Linked DNA regions of Cricetulus griseus. The protein of the gene in region 1 interacts with the protein of each later gene in a pairwise test. Links are inferred from orthologs where the notes say so. Each region holds a gene or a part of one and is shown in the gene's direction. Other genes may lie near its edges. The genes, in order: Akap12 and Fhl1.

Region 1 (8,647 bases):
CCCTTTGAAGAAACTCTTCAGTAGCTCCGGCCTAAAGAAGCTCTCTGGGAAGAAGCAGAAGGGGAAACGTGGGGGTGGAGGAGATGAAGAGCCAGGAGAACACCAACAGGTTCAAACCGAGTCCCCAGAGAGCGCTGATGAACAGAAGGGGGAGAGCTCTGCCTCCTCCCCAGAAGAGCAGGAGGAGATCACATGTCTGGAGAAAGGGCTGTCAGAAGCACAGCAGGAAGGAGAAGCCGAGGAGGGAGCCACTTCCGACGGAGAGAAAAAAAGGGAAGGAACCACTCCTTGGGCATCTTTCAAAAAGATGGTGACACCCAAGAAACGGGTACGAAGACCTTCTGAGAGTGACAAGGAAGAAGAAGTGGACAAGGTCAAGAGTGCCACGTTGTCCTCCACAGAGAGTACAGTGTCAGAAATGCAAGAAGAAGTCAAAACCGTCGGAGATGAGCAAAAGTCCGAAGAACCGAAGCGCAAGGTGGATACCTCTGTGTCTTGGGAGGCACTGATTTGCGTGGGGTCATCCAAGAAAAGAGCGAGGAAGGCCTCATCATCAGATGACGAAGGAGGGCCGAGGACAGTGGGAGGGGATGGCCACAGAGTGGAAGAGGCCAGCAAAGACAAAGAAGCTGGAGCAGATGCTGTCCCCGGCAGCACCCAGGAACATGACCAAGCGCAAGGAAGTTCCTCGCCTGAGCCAGCTGGAAGCCCTTCTGAAGGGGAAGGTGTCTCCACCTGGGAGTCATTTAAAAGGTTAGTCACTCCGAGAAAAAAATCCAAGTCAAAGCTGGAGGAGAAAACGGAAGACTCCGGGACAGAGCAATTGGCTTCAGACGTTGAGCTGAGTAAAGAAGAATCTTGGGTTTCCATTAAGAAATTTATCCCTGGACGGCGGAAGAAAAGGCCGGATGGGAAGCAAGAACAAGCCACTGCTGAAGACATGGCGTCCACAGAAGTCAATGAAGATGACCCTGATGTCCCGGCTGTTGTGCCTCTGTCTGAGTATGATGCGGTAGAAAGGGAGAAGATGGACGCGCAGCAAGCTCAGGAGAGTGAGGAAGGGTCCCAGCTTCAGGGGGCCCTGTACGTGTCTGAGGAGCTTAGCAAGACACTGGTTCACACTGTCAGTGTGGCTGTCATTGATGGGACCAGGGCAGTCACCAGTGCCGAAGAGCGGTCTCCTTCTTGGATATCGGCTTCTGTGACAGAACCTCCTGAACAGGCCAAAGACGAAGCCATACCCTCCACTAAGGAGGTCACTGAAAGAGATGTCATTGCAAAAGAAACCCCTACGGCCACCCAGACCTTGCCAGAAGGCAAAGATGCCCATGACGACACAGTTATCAGCGAGGTGGAATTCGTCTCGGAAGCTGTGACAGCTGCAGAAACCACAGAGGCTCTCCATGCTGAAGAAGTCACTGAAGCATCGGGAGCAGAAGAGACCACAGACATGGTGTCAGCGGTTTCCCAACTAACCGACTCTCCAGACACCACAGAGGAAGCCACCCCGGTTCAGGAGGTAGAGGGTGGTGTGCCAGACAGAGAAGAGCAGGAGCGGCAGACACAAGCCATCCTCCAGGCAGTTGCAGAAAAGGTAAAAGGGGAGTCACAAGTGCCTGCCACCCAGACTGTACAGAGAGCGGGGCTGAAAGCACTGGAGAAAGTGGAGGAGGTTGAAGAGGATTCTGAAGCGCTGGCTGTGGAGAAAGAGCGAGATGTCGTTGTGCTGGAAGAGCCCGTGCAGGGAAGTGAAGCTGAGCATTCTGCATGGGGCTCTGAGATTGGACAGAGTACTCCAGATAGCCTCAAAGCAGTTCCCGAAGTCACAGCGGGTGTAGAGTTGAAGGAGCAAGTCACCACATGTCAGGCTATTGAGCCCCAGCAGCTGTTGGATCAAGTTGTAGCCCCCGAGTCATCCGAAACCCTGACAGACAGTGAGACAAACGGAAGCACTCCCCTAGCAGATTCAGACACTCCAGATGTGGCACAGCAAGATGAGGTCATTGAAAGCCAGGACAGTAAAGCCATTGCAACTGACAGGCAGTCACAGGTCACAGAGGCTGAAGCAGCTCTTGCTCAGAAGGAGGGACCTTCAGTGCCACCCAATTTTCCACCCCAGGAAGAATATGGGGAAAAACCGGGAAGAGATGTTCTAGAACCAGTGAAGCAAGAGCTTGCTATGGAAGCAGCACCTGTTCTGGCAAAGACCGAGGTGGGTCAAGAGGCTAGCCACTCTGATGGCGAAAGAGTCAAAGACGAACTCTGTGTGGAAGGACTGGAGGTGTCAGTACACACAGATGGCCCCGACAGTCGAGAAAAGATTGCTGAAGTGACACAAGATGGTGAGGAGATAACAGAGCCTGAATGTCAAGAAAAGGAGTGTGTGGAAGCGCAGAGCCTTAACCCGGAGGAGAGAGAGATGGGAACTGATGTTGAGAAGGAGAAAATGGAAACAAAACCAGAGCAAGCGAGTGAAGAACCTGAAAGGAGAGCGGCCTCTCCTGAGTGTGAAGAAGCCCACCCACAGCCTGTCCAGACCGTTGACGCGTCCATCTCAGAGAGGGGAGAGGAAATGAGCAGCCTTGAAGGAAGCTCCACTCTCCCAGACCAAGACGAGGCAGGTTGCATACAGGTTCAAGTTCAAAGCTTGGACCCACCAGTAACCCCAACAGCTGTATCCATGAGGGAGGTTGCAGAAACTGTCAAGACTTCAGAAACAGATGGAAGTCTGGAGTGTGTGGGTACACATTTAATACCAGCAGAGATGTCCTCTGAAAAGGGTGACCACTGGACTTCTCAGCATGGAGAGGACATTGTGCCCTCGGGACCAGAGAAGCAGGCAGAGTCTGTCCCAGTAATAGTATCACTGGCTCCTGAAAACACCCTACATTCTGACTTGCAGGGAGAGATAGGTGCATCCCAGAAACAGAGATCAGAGGACGAAGATGACCAGGAGAGTGCAGCAAGGGAGGGAGGCCTCAAGGTTGAAGCTGAGATCTTGGAGCTCCAGAGTGAGAGCACCAAGCTTGTCGAGAACATCATCCAGACAGCCGTGGACCAGTTCGCTCACATCGAAACAACCCCCACAATCTGTGCTCCTGATTCACAGACCCAGGTTCCGGTGATGCAGGCTGACAGCCAGGGAGCTCTACAGATGCTGGATGAAGAAGAAAGCTGCCATCAAGACTCCGCCCAAGATGAAGCAGTGACTGCTGCAGCCCAAGATGGGCTTGCCCTTTCTGATATTTCCGAAGGCAAGAGCAAGCCTTCAGAAAAGATCAATATGCTTGCAATTGAGAGTGTCAGTATCAAAGACCAGCAGTGTGAGCAGGTGATTGTCCCACTCGGGGCAGAGGGAGATGGAAATGGAGCAAAGCCTGTGCCAGGTGATGATTGTGCCAAATTAGAAAGTGTAGAGAAGCTGCCACCTGAATCCAAAAATCTAAAGGGGCATGCTGCTGATGGCCTCCAACACCAAAGCTCAGCCCAGGCAGAGGCAGATGCCTTGGGAAATCTAACCAAAGAGTCTCCAGATGCCAATGGACCAAAGCTAACAGAGGAGGGAGATGCCCGGGAAGTAGGGATTCAGGAAGGAAAAACGCACACCGAGTCAGTCAAAGAGATGAAGCCCCAGACAGAAGAGGACCTACGGGAGCCTGAGGGAGACCTGGCAGAATCCTAAGATGTTAGGTAGGTAAACTTCCTTCTGGGAGGTTGGTTCCCTGTCCCACATCCCACATTGATACAATTACATGGCAATAACTGATTGTATACAGAACCTTCAGTTGGAAATAATTATCAACTAGAGTAAGGATAGTAAGTAATCTATCAACGGTAGATTTTTTGGGTTTGTTTGTTTTAAATTTATTTTTATGCGCATTGATGTTTTGCCTGTGAGAGGGTGTCGGATCCTCTAGAACTGGGGTTATAGACAGTTGTGAGCTACCATGTGGGTGCTGGCAATTGAACCTGGGTCCTCTGAAAGCGTAGACGGTACTCTTAAGCACTGAGCCATCTCTCCATCCCCGCCCCCCCACCCCACCCCCTTTTTTTTTCATCAGAATCCCACCAAGTCTTACTGGTGTCATGAAAATAATGGCTTCCTTTTGCTCTTTTTTTTTTCCTTCTTTCTTTTCTTTGAGACAGGGTCTCACTATGTAGGCCTTACTGTCCCGGAACTCACCATGTTAACCAGGCTGGTGGCTTCTGTCCCTCTCCTTCCCATGCTGGGATTAAAGGTGTGTGCCACCATACCTAGATCAGCCAAAACTATTAACATTTTAGTTTAGGGCCTGGAGAGGTTAAGAGTGTGTACTGCCGGGAGCTGGAGGGATGGCTCAGCCATTAAAGGCTAGGCTCACAACCAAAAATATAAGAATGTATACTGCCCTTGTAGAGGAAAAGAGGTCAATTCCCAACACACATGTCAGGCAGCTCCCAACCACCTGCAATTCCATCTCTAATTCAGCCACCTTCTGGCCTCCTAATACCTCTGTGACCATATTCGTACTCACACAAAGACACATAAATCAAAATCCTCTTTTCAAAACTAGTTTATAGCTATTTGGGAGAAGCATGGACTCCAGCCCAGCCCAGTTCCCAGCAGCACTGATGAGCATTTTTTAGCTTGCAGTGCACCTGAGCCTGGGAGGAGGTGTCTCTGCTGATTAACCTTATAGCAGTGGGACACAATATGGACCATGCTATCTTTTGTTTTAGCCCAGGGTGGCCTTGAGCTTGCTATGTAGCTAACGATGGCACAGATGACCTTCAATTTCTGATCTTGCACTTCTCTAGTGCCAAGTGTCCCACCATACCTGACTTTTCTTATGTTTGTTTGTTTCTTTCTTCCTTTTTTTTTTTTTCCTTTGCTTTTTTAAGACAGGGTTTCACTGTAGCTTTGGAAGTTGTCCTGGAACTCACTCTGTAGACCAGGTTGGCCTTGAACTCACAGAGATATGCCTGTCTCTGCCTCCCCAGTGCTGGAATCACAAGGTGTGCGCAACCATGCCCAGCTTTCCTATTTGTTTTTTAGAGACTGTGTAGCCCAGGCTGGACTTGAACTCCAGGTAATCCTCCTGCCTTCAGTCTCCTGTCAGTAGATTACAGGCATGAGCCACCACCACATCTGGCTCTGGTAAGATGCATTTCTGTTGGTGTTGAGGTTGGAATCCAGGGCACATTCTAAGTCAGTATTCCTTGGCTATAATGCCATCGTGTGTGTGTTAACAGTATGGAGATACACTGTGCCATCTTTCTAGCCCTTAAAAATGTTTGATGGTTGCGTGGGTTGGTGCCTACATAATGTGGGTGGGATAGGGTGCCTATGCTATGGCGCGCGTGTGTGTGTGTGTGTGTGTGTGTGTGTGTGTGTGTGTGTGTGTGTGTGTGTCAGAGGACACCTTCTGAGGGTTGAACTCAGGTCTCCACACTGTTCTAGCAAACACCTTTAGCTACTGAGCTGTCTAGCCAACCTCTTTTTCTTTTTTTCCAAGACAGGGTTTCTCTGTGTAGCTTTGGAGCCTGTCGTAGAATTCACTTTGTAGACCAGGCTGGCCTCGAACTCACAGAGATCCACCTGCCTCTGCCTCCAGAGTGCTGGGATTAAAGGTGTGTACCACCCCATTCCCATAGCTCTTGTGCTGTGTTGTGTCGTCAACAAATTGAGGCAGGAAAAGAGGTCTTTATTTCTCTCTCCTTTCTTACTCCTACAGTTACTCATATCTGCAAGGCCAGAATGTGAAGGCAAGCCACGGAAAAAAATGCTGCTGTTGAGACCAAGATTGCTGAGTCCTTGAGATTCAGAGTGGGCTGTCCGCTGACTTCAACCTTGGAGAGCACCCCTGACAATCCTGAGGCTTCACCGGGAGCTAGAGCCAGCTAACATTTCCTTGTTTAAAGACTGCCTTTGATTTTTCCCTTGATTCCATGTATTTCTGATTGAAGGTCCCTACATTCAACCTGGAATCAATGTTGGCAATACCTAGTTCTACTTCTCAAACTGGAGCATCCTCCTCTATATATTTATATGTATGTTTTCTGTAGTCCTCCTCATGTACCTATTGTATATTTTTTTTCCTAATGTTTAAGCACATGCCTTTTGTATTACACAATATATGACGGGTGTGCAGCTGTAGTGAAGCCTTGAGAAGCTCTGAGCCTCAACTATAATCTGTGGCAAATAGAGAAATAACATTCCTGAGAGGAAGGTACAAGTCATTTTAAAGGTCACTGAGCTTGGGTTTATGGGTTAGTAGTCCTCTGAAAGTGGTCGTTTTCCTACGCATAGGGAGCTCAGAAATAAAACACCATTTGGAAACATCTAGAATGTCCCAATATTACTGTGATGTGTTTCTTTCTAATCCAGTTCAGGTTGGAAAGCAGTCTCCTTAGTGGCAGATTAAGTCCCTTCTCTTAATGACGTGGACAGATGAGTGTGCCTAAGGCCGTGATAGGTTTTCCATCTCATGCAGAAGGAAATCTGTTGTACTTTTTTGATTGTACTCTTATATCCTGGATTGAATTCGTAAGCAGAACCAAGTGAGTCCCATTCTTTATAAAATGGTATTTTGATAGATACTGGAGTGTGTCTGTGATATCTGTGCCCCTTTTAAGAACAATGTTGCATTATGTTCATTTGAACAAATTGTGGTTTGACAACTGATTTAAATAAAATATTTGCTTCACTTAGATTCACGGTTTTGTTTGTTTGTTTTGTTTCCGTGACAGGGTTTTCCCTGAAACTCTCTATCTATATTCCAGGCTGGTCTTGAACTCAAAGATCCACCTGCCTCTGACTTCCAAGTGCTAGGATTAAAGATGTGCGCTGCTGCTACCCAGCTGGGTTCACTGTTTTTTGTTTGTTTTTAAATAAATCCTGTTTTATTATGAATACAATATTTGCTTGCATTTATGGTTGCTCACCAGAAGAGGTCACCAAATCTCATTATGGATGGTTGTGAGCCACCATGTGGTTGCTGGGAATTGAATTTAGGACCTCTGGAAGAGCAGCCAGTGCTGTTAACATCTGAGCCATCTCTCCAGCCCAATTCACTGGTTTTTATTAAGTGCTAAGGGGCCTGGGTCCCATGCACAGTGTTAGAATAAAATACTAACAATGCAAAGACAATGAGGGAGAAGCTGGGACTTTCTTATCAATGACCCCATGAAGACATCAGGTCACTTTGCACTGGTTTGACACATTGAGGAAGCCATGATGGGGAGGGGTTTTGTTGAAGGAAACCAGTAGAACCAGGGGTTGTGGCATATACCTGTAATCCCAGCACTCAGAAGGCAAGGCAAGAGAATTGCTGAAGTTTCAGACTAGCTAAGAATGAGACTTTTTAAATTCTTTATTTCAAAAAATAAGGCTTGGCAAAATGGCTCAAATCGTGTCTTAGCTAAGGTTTTATTGCTGTGAAGAGACACCATGACCATGGCAGTCCCATTTAATGGAGGATGGCTTACAGTTTAAGGTGTAGTCCATTCTCATCATGGCGGCATGGTTCTGGAGAAGGGACAGTTCTACATCTTGAATCACAGGCAACAGGAGACCGTGCCACAGAGGGCATAGCTTGAGCATATATGAGACTTCAAAACCCGCTTCCACAGCAACACACTTCCTCCAACAAGGCCACACAGCTCCTAGTAGTACCACTCCCTATGGGCCAAGCATTCAAACACATGAATCTACGGAGGCCATACCTATTCAAACCACCACAAATAGTAAAGGCACTTCCCTTGCAATTCTGGTGAACTGACTTCTATCTGCAGAACCCAGGTAAACACATTTTTACGTAGTTTCTGGATAGTCAGTGTGGATTTCCCTTGACATACCAACTGTGGTGTTTTGAATAAGAATGACTCAGAGTTTAAGGGCATTGGCTGAGTTCAATTCCCAGCAACCACATGGTTGGTGGCTCCCAACCATCTGTAGTGAGATATGATGCCCTCTCTGGTGTGCAGGCAGACATGCAGATAGAACACTTGTACCAAAATAAATAAACCTAAAAAATAAAAAAAAAAAAAAAATGAAGAATGGCCCACTATAGGCTCATATATTTGAATGCTTGATCCCTTGTTGGTGGGGCTGTTGGGAGGGATGAGGAAGTGTGTCACCGAGAGGATGAACTTTGAGGTTTCAAAAACACATGCCATTCCCAGTTGCTTTCTGCCTTGTGGTTGTGTCTCAAGATGTAAGTGATCAGCTATTGCCCTATGCTTGTCTACCCACCTGCTGCCATGCTCCCCACCTAGATGGTCATGGACTAAAGCTCTGACATTTTAAGCACAAATGAGCTCTTCTGTTAAGTTGCCTTGGTCTTGGTGTCTCTTCACAGCAATAGAAAAATAAGTAAAACACCAACTATTAACTAGATAAGAATTGGAACCCCTTTCTCAATTCTAATGGGGCATGCCTCCGACCCCAGCATTTCAGGAGAAGGGGCAGGAAGATGCAGGCTATGCTGGACTACAGAGCAAGTTCCAGGCCAGTCTAATAAGACCATTTCTCTGCCCCAACCTTATCTCCTGGGATCCTGGAAATGAGTGTCTCCCAGCACTGCACACTCCTGGATATCTGTCACCTCCTGAAATTAGTATAATAGTATAATCTATACTTTTTTTTTTTTTTTTCCGAGACAGGGTT
Region 2 (9,290 bases), on another chromosome or scaffold:
CCACCTGGTCCTGCAGGTCCTGCAGCCATTCAGTCCCAAATGCACACACAGAGGCTTATAGTAATTATAAACTGTTTGCTCTATTGCTTAGGGTCATTACTCACAAACTCTTACAACTTAAATTAACCCATCATTCTTATCTTTGTTTAATCTCGGGAGTTGGTACCTTTCCTCAGTATGACATTCTCATATTGCTTCCTCTGCTTCTGGCCGGTGACTCCCTTTCCTCTTCCCAGAATTCTCCTTGTTTGGTAGCCCTGCTTATACTACCTCACTGGCCACTGGCCAATCAGCATTTTATTAATCCAATATGAGTGACAAATCTTTACAGTGAACAAGAGCACTATCCCACATCAACTCCTTTCCTTATGTCTATTACATTACTCAAAACCAAACCAAAACAAAGCCAAGCTTACTCAGTTCTGGGATTTATACTATCTGAATCTAGCCTATTCTATTTTTTTAATCTTCACATTTGAACATTACAAAAATGTTCTAACACAAACACTCCACTTGGACAACTCTTTTCCTTCTATCTTGCTTATTCAGCAACACTACCACAGTTCTTTAAGTGAAACAATGTGTTTCTGTGATCTCCAGAAATTGAATTCCAATGCAAGAAGATGAAGTGTTAAGAAGGCGGCAGGGTTGGCTTTGGGTGCAGATTTAGCTGGGGTGATGTGAGAGGTGGGGCCAGATGCCTGAGACCTCCAGGGAGATTGATGAATGTCTACAAGAATGAGGAGATTAGGAAAGAAAGAAGCAGGCTGCTGTGGGGCAGAGAGCTGGTGAGGGTCGAAGGAGGTCAGGAAAGAAGGAAGGGTGAAGAAATGAAAGGGAAGAAAGCGACAATTACTACCAATTGAGCAATGGGAGGTTCCCGAAGAAAGGCTCTGTTGGATCTCCGTGAGCTCGAGGCCAGCCTGGTCTACAGAGCGAGTTCCAGGACAGCCATAGCTACACAGAGAAACCCTGTCTGGAAAAAGAAAGAAGGAAGGAAGGAAAGGGAAGGGAAGGAAAGGAATACTAACTTCTGTCAGAAGACATATTCTAAAGGCAGGCACTTGTGCCCCTCCCATTTGGCTAGCAGGATAATGAAATAGTCACAATCTTCCCAGGAATCTCATGCTGGCTGAAGGGAAAGGTTGAAGGAGGAACCTGTTTTCCAAGAAGAGATTTCACACTGTTTCTTGACAACTTAAGGTCAGACTGCCTTGCAGGACATATTGGAGCTTAGTGGTGTGTCAGTGATAGGCCAGATCACACACAACCAGCTTAGCTACACACACTTCTTGCTCTCTATTCAATCCTAATCCTCATGCTAGATGGACTTGAGGGTCACTCGGCCTCTTTATTTGTTCCTCCTCTCAACGTGGCTACATAGAGTAAATCTCCTTCCTTTCTCTGCTTTTCACTATTTCTTGTGTCTTTAATTGGCATAAGCAGAGACAGGTGGTGGAGCCGATCTTGTTAGGACCGCCAGAGCCCAGGCTTTGATCCTAAAATCTCCAGTAACAGGCTCTCTGTCCGGAGCCGTCCAGAGCTTTCCATTGTGAGTGCTCTTGGCCATTTCTTTCTGGTTGAGCCCAGGGCTGGTATGCTGGGAGCTGCTTCAAGTGGAGCTAATTGTTCAGTGCTTTCCCATGAGGGCCTGGGGCAGATCTGCTTCTTTTCCTAAGCAATGTGCAGCAAGTCTTACTTTGCTAATCCAGAAATAGCAAACCCCAGTGATTCTAAGGGCTCAGAATGAGAAAAGAAGACTCAGCTCTGGGTAGCAAGGGGGGGGGAAAGCATTTTGCAACTATCTCTTGGCTCTCTGGGAAAAGAGGCCAGCACCTGGTTTATTTAATTTTTTTGTAATTTTTTATTAGTTCAAATTAGGAACAAGCTTGCTTCACATGGCAATCCCTCCTCCCTCTCCCTCCCCTTCTCCCTAACCCCCCAACCTCTCACCCGCCCCCCACCCCATCCAGCCTCCACTCCCCAGGCTGGGTAGGGCCCTCGACAGGGGATCCCCAAAGTCTACCACATCATCCTGGGCCGGGCCTAGGCCTCCCCCATGTGTCCAGGCCGAGACGTGGGATGGGCTCTCAAAGTCCCTTCTTACACCAGGGAAAAATAGTAATCCACTACCAGTGGCCCCCTAGAGTGTGAAGGCCTCCTCATTGACATCCCTGTTCAGGGGTCTGGATCAGTCCTGTACTGGCCTCCCCGACAGCAGTCTGGGATCCATGTGCTCCCCCTTGTTCAGGCCAGCTGATTCCGTGGGTTTCACCAGCCTGGTACCGACCCCTTTGATCTTCATTCCTCCCTCTCTGCAACTAGGTTCCAGAGTTCAGTTCAGTGTGTATCTGTGGGTGTCTGCCTCTGCTTCCGTCAGCCACTGGATGAGGGCTCTAGGATGGCATAAAAGTAGTCATTAGTCTCATTTTAGGGGAAGGGCATTTAGGTTATCCTCTCCACCATTGCCTAGATTGTCAGTTCGTGTCATCCTTGTAGATCTCTGGAAATCTCCCTAGCAGCACCTGGTTTATGAAGCATGGGGAAAACAGCAATGTTGAGACTGTTTGCTTGGCTTAAACACACAGCTGCTCCACCTCTCAGCAACATCTGCTTCTGCATAAAGGACCAATTCTCTCCTTCAATCCAGCCTTCATTTTGTAGCAAGACTTTGGACTCCTTCAATGAACCTTTCTCCTGCCTCACCAGATATCCCCTACAGGCTAGCCCCACCTTTCCAAGTCACAGCAGAAAATGAAAGTTTGCCTCCACCCTACTCATCCTCTTGGGTCATTTTCCTTTCCATCCCTCTTTACAAGGAAAGATTGCAAAGCAGTTTTCTTTAGTTCACCTGCAATTCTCTCAATATTCTTCTATCAACTCCTTCCACTTAAGTCCACTGGCATGATAGTTTTCTCCTGCATTTTTTTTTTTTGTCTCTGCTCCTTCTGTCTGGAAAGTTTTCCTTGGTTCTTTATATGGCGCTGCTTTTATAGCATCCAAAGCCTAGATTAAATGTCACCTTCTTACCCACATTACTTGCAACCCCGTCTTATCCTGCAGTTTATCCAAGTGTGATTATTTTCTCGCCTACTCATGTTTTCTTGCTCCGCTAGTAAGGCAGAGTGTGTGCACAACTGCACTGTATCTACAACATTTGGCACGGTACTTGGCACATGGTGAGGGCTCGCTGAACGGAAGGAGTGAAAGAACTAGTCACTACGTGAAGCTCTGCCTGTCGTAAGTGCTTTAGGAACGACGGAAAACCCTCTGGATACAGGCTCTTTGCCTTCTGTCCTGCATGCTAGTCAATGGCAGAGGTGATCAGTGGGTCTCTCAGCATGATGAAAACCAAGAGATCCGCAATCGCGGGCTGTGATGGGGTGTGCAGGTCAGCGAGGCCCCAGAGAGGCCAGAGGCCACCTTGGCTGCCTCTCTTTGTTGCTCCCACCTCCCGGGCTCTGGCCGCGGCTGCCTGCAGTGACTCGTGACTCCCCAGCAGCCCGCCGAGGCCTGCGCCCGCGAGGGAGGAGGCAGCAGTCGCCCCCAGCCCTCCCTCCGCGTGCCCTTTGGACGCTGGCGGCTGCTCAGGGAAGCGGCGCCACGGCGGGCTCGCGGCCACTTCCCGCGCGCACCCGTGCACGCCTCGCAGGCAGCAGCGGGCCTCTCCCGAGGCGCCCACGCAGCCCGCGCCCCCTTCCCGCGCTTGCCCGACCGGCTCCCGCCCCCCGCGAGTTTCCCCGCACCGCAGCCCCGCGCCACGGGCAGAGCCCAGGCGGACGCGCGCTCCGCCCTGCCCCGCCCCGCCCCGAGTGGCCGCGCCCGCCCCCTCCCGCCCCCGCGCGTGCTCCCTCCTTCCCTCCCACTCTCGTGCGCCCCTCCCCGCGCGCCCTACATCCACCGCCCGGCCGAGGGGGCTCAGTCCGCAGTCGCCACTGTCGCCGCCGAGCTTTGGCCACGGAGCTGGCAGCGGCCACCGGTGCCGCCTAGACAGCTGCACGGGTGAGCATCCCCAGAGAGTAAGCCCGCTTTCCCTCCGCGTGTGCGTGGGTGTGCGCCTCCCGCGTCCCTGGGGAGCCGCAGCTCAGTGCTCCGCGGCCGCCACTCCGGGGCTGCGCCGACCTGCAGGGCTCGGGTACCTGCGGCCTCCGGCCTCGGTGGCCTCGCCCACGCTGGGGGGCTGCGGAACCCGGGGCTCCAAGGTCCCTTAGGGTGCGTGCTTCGGCTCCCCCCCAAGGCTTTCGCTCCCCGGGTGGGGAGCGGGATTCGGAGGGGGGTGGCTCTGGGTCTCTCCTCTGCAAGGATGGACGGTGGGAGTAAAAAAGAGGGGGCTTTTGGTTTTCTCCCCCAGGATGGCGGGCAGTGGGGGTGGGGCGAGGTGGGGACACCTTTAGATTTTTTTTTAAAGGATAGCAGCAGTTGAGAGTAGCAGGGGATGATGATGACGATGGGGGGGGGTGCTTCACTGGGTTTCCATTAAGGATGGCGCCTGTTGGGCTGGAGAGGAAGGTGGGAACCTGCCTTGGCTCCTTCCACGGAGATGTTAAGGGAGCTGCGTGGTGGATTTGCCTTTGGGGATGCTGGGGGTGGCAGGAAGGGAGCGCAGGGAGAATAGTGAGGCAGGGAGAGGGCTGCTTGCAGCGCTTCTGCTCTCCAAGGGGAATGGCAGTGGTGTGGGGAATGGGGGTGGGGAGAGGGGACTGGATTTCAGCTCTAGCGTGGAAGCAAAAGGAAGGTTCTAGCACTTAGGTTCAGTCTTGGTTGAGCCTTGACAAGGTAGGTTAGGAAAACTGCTGGGTGTGACCTTTCTATTTCAGAAAAGCCTGAAATTCCCACTACATGCTGTCCTGGGCTATAGGGAAGAGGTTTCTGCTTCTGAAGTTCCCATTGCTTAGCCACTGATAATGCTGTGTATTATTTTCTGCATTTGGGCCTTTTGAGTTTCTCGGTCTCATTCTGATTACAAGGACCCCAACGACTAGGGAGGCACATTGGGAACAGGAGACAAGAAAGTGTATGAATGTGATTTCAGATTTGGTTTTTGAATTTCCTGAAGGGCAAGAGTGGGACAAATGTATTTGCTGGAAGTCCTCTGTACTCTTCATTTAAATTATGCCATAGGGACTATCTGAGCCTCCTTTGATTTGAATTTGGAATAGATCCAGTTTTCCTAATTGGAGCTATCATTTGGTAATTGCTTGTAATTCTCCATGTTATCAAATGTATTTCGAGTTTATAAAATACTGGGAATATTTTTGTTATCTTGATTAAGGCTGTTTAGTATAAATGTAATGGCCCTTGGAAATGAGAACATTTACAGAATAGCACAAGTTTAAATTCTGGGTCACGTGGAATTGGGTAAAGAGTTTCCATCCTCGTCCATCCCCAGTAACAGGCCGCTCCCCATTCCATACACTTGAAAAAACATCAAGGGACTGAGGTTGGTAGTTTTGTCTTTGGAAATTCATGCCCATATTTGCTTAAGAAAAATGTGCATTTAAAAACTGTGGGCCTTAAATGTGCTAGGACTATAATGTTTTCCCATCTTGGTTACATAAGGTTCCAATCTAGTCTACCTTCGGTCTTTAAAAACATGTATTTAACATTTTTAAGGGCAAATATGATCTTTATGCAACAGGAAATTTGTTAGATAGGCCATGATTTGTAGAAACCACCACACAAGTAAGTACACATTCTAATAGTACCATATAGATTCTGTAACTATTCATGGCTTTTGAAATTCTAGGCTTCCATTCCAATATTTAATTTTTTTAGAGAAGGAAAATATTTTTTTAAGCAAGTCTAGATTTGGGGATAAAAAAATGTAACATGCAAATTGGTAAAATTTCTTCTTTTATGAGTTCTTTGGAGATAATATGGTTAAATGAATTGATCACTTGAATAAGATATTGACTTTATTTATTGCAAATGTTAAAACTACATGTTTAAGTGGAAGTAGAGCATGGGTCTGCATGATTAACAAAAATGCATTTACTTATGCTATTGTGTACCATTCTAACATTTATGTGATGTGTGTTCCGCATCAATGCAGTAGTGAGAAAGAGCATTGTGTTCACAATATAATTTAAGCCTGGTGTTTTTTCCCTGAGGAATAAGAATGATGAAAATGGTAAAAAAAAAAAAAAAATCTCTTAAAAGGAGCAGTATGTTGGTGGGAAAATGGACCTTAAGTTTCTCTCTAAACAAAAGGAGCAAAGGGAGTCTTTACTTGGCTTTTTGAGAACCTGTTGTAAGATGGGAGGAAAAAAGATGGAAGAACTTTCAGAAATTAACAGTCTAGTGAAATAGTTGTTCTAAATAATCTTAAAGATTTGGCTAGTTATCTATTGGAAAAATAACTTGTAAATCAAGCCTTTGTGTGAGAAACTCAGCACCAGGCCTTCAGTTTGAATATTTCTTTATTTATTCATTTGTTGTAGTACTGGGGATGGAACCCAGGGCCTCACACATGCAGAGCAGGCGCCATTGTCATGGAACAACTTCCCTAGCCCAAGTTTAGACATTAAAAACAAATAATTTGTTGAAGGCATGGCAGCTAATCTCCTGAGGCTGTACCCTGTTTTCCTAATCTCTTCCTCCTGGTTCTTCTTTTCCCCCTTACCATCCCCCTTCCCCTCCCCCCCCCTCTGGTGCCAGCAACATTGGCTTTTATAACCTTGTGGGAGTTGAACAAATGTTCCTGCTTGCTTGAACTTTAGTCCTTATCTCGTTGGCTGCTTTCCTTAGCTTTTGTCTACACATTACTTGTTGTTGTTGTTGTTGTTAACTGAACTACCCAGTTGTTTGGATTTGGGATAAAAGGGAGTATATTGTTATTTTTTTCCTTAAGAGATTTTTTTCTATCAGCCCCTGTTGAACATAGCAAAAAGTTTCCCTCCTCCCCTCCCTCTCTCCTTCCCTCCCTCTCTCTTTCCCTCCCTCCCTCTGTTCCTCTCTCTGCCTCTGTCTCTCTCTGCCAGCACAGTGCCTAATTAAGTAGAATATATGACCATTCCATTCTTCAACAGACATTTACATAGTCAGCTCCTCACATGGAGGCTCTTGTACCTGGTGCCCAGATACCAAATATATAAGAAATACTTCCTGCCTTTCTGGTGTGATTATAGAAAGGTAAAGTATAGACAGTTAATCTATTGTGAATAATTAAGTTATATCTGGAGTCTTTTGACTATCCCCCTAGTAGCTGTGTATACGATAAACATTCTTCAGTCCTGCAAACAATGAAATCATTTCTTTCTAGTGACTTAGTCTGAGACATAGTTTTCATTTTGGGTAATATAATTAGCTTTGGATTTCAGCAATCAGCTGTTGAAAATATTTACAAAATGTCAATCTTTATTAAACATTTATAGACTTTTCTTTGTTGTATGAAAACTGCATAGCATTCATATGGTATTGAATATCATAAGTAATTTAAGATGATTTAATGTATATTAGAAAATGGTATAACTGATGTGCAAATACAATGTAATTTTATATGAAAAACTTGGTCATCTATGGATTTTGCTATCTATAGGTTCTGGAGCCATTCACCCATGGATATTGAGAGACTGTCTTATAGTCTATGGATTTTCTCTTTAAAAGTTTTTGTTATTATTATTATTTTGGAGGCTGACCTTCAACTCTTAATCCTCCTGCCTCTGCCTCCTGATTGCTGGCACGCCACCATGCCCATCTTTCTCTTTTTTAGTCAATATAGTTTTAAGTATTTATGAGGTACAGTGTGATAAGTTGATACATAGATATAATCTGTAAAGATATTTTCTATAAATTAAATGGAACATATCAGATTTACTGATGCTTAAATTCACCTTTCTTAAAGCTGTCCTGGAGCTCACTATGTAGACCAGGCTGACCTTGAACACATAGAATTCTACCAGCTTCTGCCTCTTGAGTGCTGGGATTAAAGGCATGGTTAAATTTATCTTTCCATTATTGTAGAGGAGTGAGAAGTGAGTGACCAGCCTTCCTTCCTGCGATTTAAAACATTTTCTAATGGCAAATTGAGACCCCAAGTTATTTCTCTGTGGTCAGGTTTGAATTATGGTTGGTCATGGGTGATGGAGCCCAAAAGAGTGAATAGTATTTAATAGTAGCTTGATAAACCTTTGATCCTTCTTCAGGGTACCATCTGAGATCTTGGAGAATCCTTCTGTTTGTGGTATGTGCTGGACTAATGGTTTTTATCCCCAGGGACTTTGCCACACAGGGGTCACTGGACAATGCCCAGGAGATTTTTTTTTTCCAGATGCACTTCCTGGAATCTAGTCACCAGAGGCCAGTGATGTTGCTTAAATATCCTAGAACTCATAGGGCAGCAACCCCACCATAAATGTGTTCAGCCTGAAGTCTCAGTAATGCCGAGGTTGATGTAATTTCCTTTACAAACACAGGAACACATAATTTCAGGAGAGGAAAGGACAATAGCCGTGTGTTCATGTGACCCTGTAGAGTACTCGGCTGAGCTCATTTGATTAGACTTCAGAGTGGCTAGTTCCTGCCCATCAAACTGAATAATTAGAGTAACAGCTTGTGTTTTCGGTGCTCTGTTCCAGGTACTTGCATACATTACATCCCTCTCTCTCTCTCTTTTTGGTAAATGAGGAACAAGGTTCAGAGAGGTAAAATAAGTTGCCTTGGAAGTAAAGATGAAAATCTTCTGACGTTCATGGTCTCCCTTGTTGTGGGCACTATTCAAAAATCTTAAGTAACGAAGTTTTAAATGCTATTCAAGTTCTTTAGTACATACAGAATTTCTCATTTGCAAGATTTTATAATAAAAGTAGCATATGGTATTGAGAAAATTGAAAGTTACTGTATGTTGTAAGTACCATTGAGCTTGCTTGAGATTAATTAAAACAAGGAGTGATAAATTTGGCCAGGCTTGGAGTAAGTAGCAAGGAAAGAGGAAAGAGGGGAACAGGGAACCAACATTAATTATTTTTAGCTGAATTTCAGGAATTATGCTAGTTGTATTGACACTCATGGTCTGACTTGCTCCTCCAGATCCTACAGAACATAAAGATGTACATTTCCTAGAAAAGAGTCAGAGTAGGTCCAGACATGGTGGTGCACTTTTTTAATCCCAGCACTAAGGAGGCAGAGGCAGGTGCATCTCTGAGTTCCAGGCCAGCCTGGTCTACAGAGAGAGTTCCAGACTAGCCTGTTGGGGCTACACAGAGAAACCCTGTCTTGAAAACAAAACAACAAAAACAAGTCCAAGACTGCACACCTGATAAGTGACAGAGTTGGAATTTGAGCCACTGTCC

The links.
Region 2: the proteins of Akap12 (region 1) and Fhl1 interact in binary tests that used the Homo sapiens proteins (3 or more experiments, as listed by UniProt). The link is inferred for Cricetulus griseus from reciprocal best matches to the Homo sapiens genes AKAP12 and FHL1.

Annotation. Positions count from the first base shown.
Region 1 is NC_048595.1:282,046,303-282,054,949, forward strand, and holds the end of Akap12 (A-kinase anchor protein 12), read left to right. Parts: coding exon 1-3,682; 3' UTR 3,683-3,690; intron 3,691-5,499; exon of another isoform or gene 5,500-5,517; intron 5,518-5,594; 3' UTR 5,595-6,692; downstream 6,693-8,647. UniProt on the Homo sapiens protein: Anchoring protein that mediates the subcellular compartmentation of protein kinase A (PKA) and protein kinase C (PKC).
Region 2 is NC_048604.1:15,693,630-15,702,919, reverse strand, and holds the start of Fhl1 (four and a half LIM domains protein 1), read left to right. Parts: upstream 1-3,220; 5' UTR 3,221-3,240; intron 3,241-3,872; exon of another isoform or gene 3,873-4,019; intron 4,020-4,193; exon of another isoform or gene 4,194-4,212; intron 4,213-9,290.